2 linked regions of the Tribolium castaneum genome follow. The protein of the gene in region 1 purifies or fractionates together with the protein of each later gene. This does not show direct contact. Links are inferred from orthologs where the notes say so. Each region holds a gene or a part of one and is shown on either strand. Other genes may lie near its edges.

Evidence for each region.
Region 2: the proteins of Trx2 (region 1) and AIF purify together in Homo sapiens (affinity purification with mass spectrometry; 3 studies listed by BioGRID and IntAct, with this or other methods). This does not show direct contact. The link is inferred for Tribolium castaneum from reciprocal best matches to the Homo sapiens genes TXN and AIFM1.

Annotation. Positions count from the first base shown.
Region 1 is NC_087401.1:17,531,393-17,534,511, forward strand, and holds Trx2 (thioredoxin-2), read right to left. Parts: upstream 1,571-3,119; 5' UTR 1,433-1,570; coding exon 1,409-1,432; intron 1,295-1,408; coding exon 1,151-1,294; intron 1,091-1,150; coding exon 941-1,090; 3' UTR 725-940; downstream 1-724. Other genes in the region: myelin regulatory factor, read left to right, coding at 1-31, 179-253; transmembrane protein 53, read left to right, coding at 2,468-2,676, 2,731-2,938, 3,057-3,119. UniProt on the Homo sapiens protein: Participates in various redox reactions through the reversible oxidation of its active center dithiol to a disulfide and catalyzes dithiol-disulfide exchange reactions.
Region 2 is NC_087402.1:8,007,158-8,011,725, forward strand, and holds the start of AIF (apoptosis-inducing factor 1, mitochondrial), read right to left. Parts: upstream 2,955-4,568; 5' UTR 2,573-2,954; coding exon 2,485-2,572; intron 2,433-2,484; coding exon 2,236-2,432; intron 2,189-2,235; coding exon 2,012-2,188; intron 659-2,011; coding exon 455-658; intron 411-454; coding exon 280-410; intron 231-279; coding exon 1-230. Other genes in the region: lipase 1, read right to left, coding at 3,175-3,324, 3,375-3,520, 3,571-3,655, 3,704-4,423, 4,475-4,568. UniProt on the Homo sapiens protein: Functions both as NADH oxidoreductase and as regulator of apoptosis.

The sequences.
Region 1 (3,119 bases):
GACGTACCGAGCGTCGAGTCGAGCCAATCAGGTAAGAGTCATTTGACAATTTTTTTTTTTGACAATTTTTGGAAATTTCATTGTGGTTTAACCAATTGTGACCCATCGATCCAGACTGGAATTGTCTGGGCGCTTCGAATATGCTATTAAATTTATCGATTTACTTCTGTTTTCGCAGAATACGTGTAAATTGAGCAACTTGGATGAATTTATCGAATATAATTTCCATTTCTACCGGCACTGTGATGAATAAACGATACGTACTACTCAAAAAAAGGAAACTAAGAACAAGAAATGCATGACATTTATTTATTTACGTGTTTTTTTTTAAATATTATATTTTTTTAATTGTTTTATCAAAGTGTTCGATGTTACTACAGCATCACCTAGTTGTAGAAGTACCTGTATCTGAAAGATTTGAACACTTTTCTAGTTAGTGTAAAATGAAAAAGCACCAAAAAAATATTGTAGCGTTTTTAGATTATGACTCATATAATGTACTTAATTTTCTCGTCCGTCCAATAAATTGTATAATGTGTAGATTAGACTTTTATCGTATTGTAAAATATTTTTCTTGTTTGACAAATTTTTATTATTTTATAGAATTAAAAATATAAATGAACAAATACTAGTTTTAGCGTAAATATCATGTATTATTGCAATATTGTTTTATTTTTTTGTGATTGTGTAAAATAAATTGTTTTTTTGATTTAAAAAAACGCAGTTTTGTTACGTTTTAATGACTTTATTTTGCTTTTACATCATTTAAGGCGCTACTTGGTGAATCTCAAAATATACAACAATTCACGCTTTCAAATACAATTAATATAAAAAATAACAGAACCTACGCATTGAATCAAGAAAAATGCTCGGATTACAATTTTTTTTTGCAAATATTTGTGTTAAAAGTACATGAAAAAATTAAAGAAAACGAAACAATCTACTTGTTCTCCACTACCAACTGTCTGAGCTTTTCATAGTTGGCGCCGCTGAACTGCGTGATCGTTTGACTATTCTTCACGAAAACAAAAGTAGGCATTGACGAAATATTATATTCCATCGCGATATCTTCGCATTCGTCCACATCCACCTAAAACAAAACACGTTGACAAAACAAACGTCAAATAGATACACACACACAGCCGCCTACCTTGAAAATGTGCACGTTTTGGAATTCCTGAGCCAACTCTTCCAATTTCGGCGAAATCATTTTACATGGCCCGCACCAAGTAGCGAAGAAGTCGATGACGACAAGTTGGTCGCCGGCATCGGTGAGCTTCGACACAAGGTCGGCCTGTGAAACAAACACTCTGTATATTAAATTTTTTGTTCCGGCTAATCGAAGGTCACGATCTGTCAAAAATCTATTGCGTTTCCGGAAAATGTGCCACGCCCACATGGGCCTTACCTTATCGTTGATGTGGGTGACCATGGTAAGGTTACGATGGGCCTCCGCTGTTTGATGGGTCTTTTTCCGCCGAAATGGGCAACAGAAAGGAATGATTTGAAGATGGACGACAACACTCGTACAAATGACTTGACACAATGCCACTTTGTTATTTAAATGCGCATGCGTCACCTAAACTTTGCTACGATTGGTGGGTCCAAGGTCAAGGGTTGAGTGATACAGGTCGGACCATGTGAGCGATTTTATCAAAATTGTAAAAGAAGACCTTTTGTTGGACAGTTTCCACGCCTGGAAAAGTCCGGGGTGTCTTCCTGGCGCCACTTTTGCCGTGTTTTTCGCAATTCGGCGCAATTGTCACACCTGACCCAAGGCTTGGTCTTAGTCATGTCGTGACCAAAATTAAATTTTTACGTCAGTGTTCAATTCAATCATCAATTTTGAGAATTTGGTGAATAAATCACGAAAATAATTCGGTTAGAGTGATTTTTTATTTTTATGAAATCAATAAAAGCGGAATTTTATCAAGCAACCTTCGAATAAAGGCACACGTGACTTATTATCGGTCACGTGGTATTGTAATTATTACGAAAAAAAGTGAGAATTTCATTATTTACATTACTCATTATTTACTCAGCGGATTTGAGTTGAGATCAGACGCGCTTATCTCTTATCTATGTAGTGAAATAATTGTATTTTAATCTATGTTTAAGTATTTTACGATTTTTGCAATAAACACTTGTCCTTGGTGAAACTAAATCACAACAGGACTAAAGTTTTTTAGAAATCGTAATAAATTGTTTGCAATGGCCAAAAACTTGCTAATGTATATGCAATCATTTAGATTATTATTGAAAAAACTCCACTGATATGAGTAATGCATAACAATTTAATCTAGAACTGTTTGAAAAGCGCTTGAGTTAGTCGAGAAATCGTTTAAATTTGGGAAAGTATATGTAACCAACAATACACAAATTGTCACTGACGTCGTCCCCCACGTCACTCAGCTTCGGCGCCGTCATCCACGTTCATTTATCGATCGATGCGCACCGTTTTTGAAAAATGGCCGGTGCCGCCGATCTCGACAATCTCGAATATTACATCAAATTTCCCAGTCCAAATTTTAACTACAGCCAACCGAATGGCACCGGAGAAAGTGACTACGTTTTTGTCGTCAATGAAGAAAAAATCCCCGTTATCCTACTTTTCGGTTGGGCCGGATGTCAGGATAAGTATTTGGCCAAATATTCGCAAATTTACGAAGACCGAGGGTGAGAATAATTTTTTGATTTTTACAAAATTTCAATTTCCATTTTTTTTAACAGTTTGATAACTTTGAGATACACCGCTCCGGTGAAATGCCTCTTTTGGAAGCGACTGCAGATGATCACGATTGGAGAACGACTCGTTAAGCTTTTGGTTGATTTAAATTTTGAGAATCACCCGATTATTGTGCATTGTTTCTCAAATGGGGGCGCTTTTCTGTATCAGAATTTCACGCTGGCGCTTGAAAAGAGCCCCAAACCGATTCAGGTAAAACTTTCCATGTATAATGATTATTCATGAGATACAAAAATAAGCCTTGAAATGCTGTTAACTTTGCCATAAAATGTTTGTTTAAAGTATCGGACAAAATGTACTGTTTGTGCAGATAAAAGGAGTGATTTTCGACTCAGCGCCCGGAAAACGTCGCGTTCTGAGTCTGTTTCGGGCC
Region 2 (4,568 bases), on another chromosome or scaffold:
TTTGGGGGTCGGCACAAGCTGCCTCGAACACGTTGAGCATTTTTGGGGTAGCACCTGTGGCGATGAGGCACTTGTTGTATTCAATGGCGTAGCCGTCTTCGAGATAAGCAATTCGGTTGACGACGTCAAGACGGGTTACTTTGTAGCCTCGAGCTACGGCTACGCCCCCATTTTCGTTCTTTAGCAAGTCTTGACACTTGATATAAAAGTCTTCAGGCTCGTAGTAAAGGCTGGAAAAATCGTTATTGTTGTTTTGTTGTTGGCTGTGAGAAAAATTACTTTCGTTCCGATCCGTTCCACTGTTTAAAAATGAGCTTCTTGACTGATTCTTCGTCCTCATTGAACCACATTTCTTTCGATAACGGGGGACGCATGTAAGGGTGAAACGATTCATTTGTCACAACTAAAACCTGATCGATTGTTAGTATAGTGTTTGGGTGGTTAAAAAAATTACTTTTGCGGTTGGATCAGCTGATTTGATTGCACGGAAGGCTGCAAATGACGCAGTTCCGCCCCCGATCAGTAAATAAGGAACTTGATTTGGGATCTCTTTTGAATGTAGAGGGTCTTTAACAGGTGCTCTCTTAGTTTTCTTTTTCTTTGCCGCCACTATTTTTTTCGGTTTGCTTTTATCTTCAAAGTATCCAACGTAATACAGCTAAAGGTTCAGTGTGAAAATAAAATTATAGGCCATTTCGGGACGCTTTGCGTGTGCGTCATTTTTCAAATAACAACATTACAAGTCTTTTTAATACACATTTATTAATAAATTAACAAATAAATCATTATTAATAAAATATTGTACGAAGATTTTTAAAATGTAGAACAAGGAAGATGTATTTTATGTTTAGAAGTTCTTTTTTACGTCCAGAAATTTGGATTACTTATTAAACTTACTTAAACAAGAGTAGGTAAACAAACATTCCTTGTATTTTATGTTGTAGTTTTTGTTTGATATTTCTGAAAATAATGTTTTTGCCTATGAGATTCAATTATTTCAAAAACTTAGCAAAAACTACTAGTAAAAAAACATTATGATTAACAACCACATATATCCAAAAATGCACAAAACATAGGGTGTTTTACTTATTGACAGTCGAGTCCTTGAAAAATTAACCAATGAAATGTCTTTGACTTGACATCATACGTTAGTGTAGTGGGTGAAAAACTTGTTTTATAATTTTTACGGGTTGTTTTTTCGCGTGTTTAATGCACAAATAACTGATTTTTTATCGAAAATGTGCAGCTCGCAGCCAAACGGATTACGCAGCTTTTGAAAACGACACGATGGAGGTTAAGGTTAGTTATTTTTCTTATGTTAAGTCAGTTTAGTTCTGTTTCAAATGAATACAACATACAATTATGCTAACCCTGAAAATGCAATAAAGCCGAGTTTTATTTATCTGAGTAAATTGAGGACGACAAAAGGAAAAGATGCACAGGGTCGGACTACGGTTTGGGAGCCTTTAGGGCCTAAACTAATGTTAATACTAATACTTTTTTCTTTACCCTGATTTTACGTAATTCATAACTTGTAAGTGATGTTTTTAATAAAAAATTGGCTTTACTGTAGAGAAGATTTACTCTTCTCTTACTCTTACGATTATTTTGCGCCGCAAAACCATTTTTTCAAGAGATGTTGTCAAAACTAGCCAAATTATTTACACACCCATAGTTGTAAATTTTTTGTTTATTTAGTGCATATGAGGTACTTACCTTCTTATCCAATTTTAGCGGATTCTGGCTTACTTCAAAAAATTTCGCGAAAGAAAAAATTATGATTCGTAAGAAAAGTTGGACAGTGCTGTGATAAGGAATTATAAAAAAAACAGAAAACCAAAAAGAACGAAAAAAAAAAATAAAAAACGATACAGCTGAAGTATAATCTGTAAATTAACGTTCTAGACTTCCATTGACTGTTTCAATTTGCATAGTTTTGGATAATCTTTTGACTTGATGACGCCCACGCAAACCGTTTTAGGTTTTTGTTTAATAGAAAAATTCTACATACAGCTCCTAGCGTCGCTGCTGCTATTAGAAGCCCCACAAGGGCGGCATTTTTGTAATTATCCCACTTGCTTCCCTCGTCATGCGGGCACTCTGGCGGGGGCTCCTGTTTAGCTTGTGGACATTCGCTTTCCAGAGTGGGTTTGACTGGACAATCCTCTGGATTAATGTGGGGCAGTTTCTGCAAATTTTTCATTAAGTGTGTCTAACAAAATATTAAGGAGGTACCGATGGTGGAGGAGGTGGGGGCGGGGTGCAAGGATGGATATCAACAGGTTTACACTCTTTCAAGACCAGTTTAGGGCGTTTTTGGGTTTTTTTCTCTTCACAAGCTTTGTTTTTACCATCTTGTACCTTTTTGTTCCCATCGTCGCTACTTTTTGAATAGAACCGTGTCGGGTGGGTAAACTGGACCCGCTGAAGGGCTGGAAATATCGGAATTCAAGTCTGGACCCACCTGAAGGTGGCTCAGCTCACCTAGACATCGGGAGGCCTCAACTGGGGATCTCTGGAGGATTTTGATTGTTACGTTCTTTAGTTGCAAGAGATGGTTAATCCGGAACATTTCTTAAATGCGTCGAGGTGGAAGTTGGGAGAATTTAATTGAAAAGCATTGCTGAGCTGAATGATAAATGACAAAAGTAAAAATGACACTATTATGTGAAATTTTTCAGTCTTGATGAGAAATACTGTAACTGTGAGGTCCCGTAGTCGTTTTGCAACAATTATTAGAGGATTAGAACCAACACTAACACTTTTTGCCGAATTTTTGAGCTCACGTTTTTCATCAGGGAAAACATAACCTCAAACTCGTCCAAGAATTCACGAAACGGTAAATAAAAAGATTAAAAGGCACATGAGTCAGTTACACAGTTTTTGATGAACTGTGTGGAAAATGTTCAAGTTGATATGAATATTATGTTTTATTTGCCACAAAAAACTAATTTTTGATTGTATAACTGGTTGTCTACACAACACATCCGTATTGTTATTTTTTTTTAAAAATTATTTCGAACAATTTTAATTTTTTGGTTTGCTTTGGATTAGATATTACTGGTTGAAATAGATCGGTAATTTTTATGTATTCACCGTTTTTGCTCACTAAATTTTAAGTGTATTCATGTGAGGAAGAAAAAAACACATAAGCGATCCTATGTAAAAATTTATTCAGTACTTTTGCATAACTTTAATTAGCTCTACATAGAGCATATTTACAACATCCTTTGCAAAAATGAAGTCCAAGTGATCGAATAGGTCGTACGGTATGAAATAATCATTAGCTACATTTCCAAGATTCTTTACTACAGTTTGCGCATCCTGAAATATTTCCAACTTAAAGTGTAGTCAATAATGAATTCGAGAATTACCAAGTAGTTCACCAGCTGGTCATTTTTTCCATAATAAACAGCCACAGGTGCTGAAATTTTCGACAAATCATAGGCCGGGGGTGTATCGGTTCCATAAATTTCCTTGTTTTTTTCTTTACTGCCAAAATCAAACTGCGAAAATCCACCTAAATAATTTGGATTAGAATTCAATTAAAAATCCAAAAGGGCCTTTTACCATTTTTGATAAGTTGGCCATAGTGATAAAGCTGTTTCATGGCTGCGTTTGAGGGTGCATTTGTAAGAATTACAGGGAATTTTTCCTAGAAAATAAAATTGGAAAAATTAAATAACCACTGCTTATAACATACGAAGTCAAATTGCGGTTTATCTTGTCCACCTATGAGACCGATAACATCTTCGCAGATGTTGAGACTGTCGGGATTTGAGCAAAAATCAGACGCAAACTTTCGTAGTTGTGCCAGAAGCGGTATTTCAAATATTGTGTATTTCTTTACTACTTTCTCCAACTCAAAGATATATTTTGAAAGACCTACTAAAAGCGTAGTGGACTGATGCTCCATATACGAGGCAGGCCCCATAAGTGAGGCAATTTTGATTTTGCTGTTATATTCTGGCCTAGTGGACCCCAAGACCATGAAGGCAGTTGTACCTTGAGAGTGTCCTACATAATAAATACTATCGTCACCGTTTACATCCAAGATGTAATCTATAGCAGCGGGCAGGTCGTAATACCCGATTTCATGCCAACTGAAATCGAAAAACTTCTCAGCATCTGCTACTATATCCAGAGTTGTGTGATTTCGCGACCATCCGTTCCCTCTAGCATTACCAAGCCATACATCATATCCGATGTCGGCCAAAATATAGGCGAGACTATTGTTCGGACCCATATTTACGTAATCGGCCGAAGACGATATGAGACCATGCATGAGCAAAACGGCCGGTCTTTTGGTCGAATTATCGTTGTTTTTACCATGTGGTATTCTGTGGTATGTTAAGATGTAACCATCTTCGGTTGTTATGTAGTGGGTTTCACACACGTAGCCATGCTTTTCTATCATTTCAACCTTTCGTAAAGGAGTTAAGTCAAATTTTTTATTTGAAAGGAAAGCACTTACTGTGTTCAAACCCACGTCCGAGTCTGCGGACACTTCACGTCCATAGAGGAGACTTGAGAGGAGGAAAATGATTACCAGTTTGGTTTGGATAGCC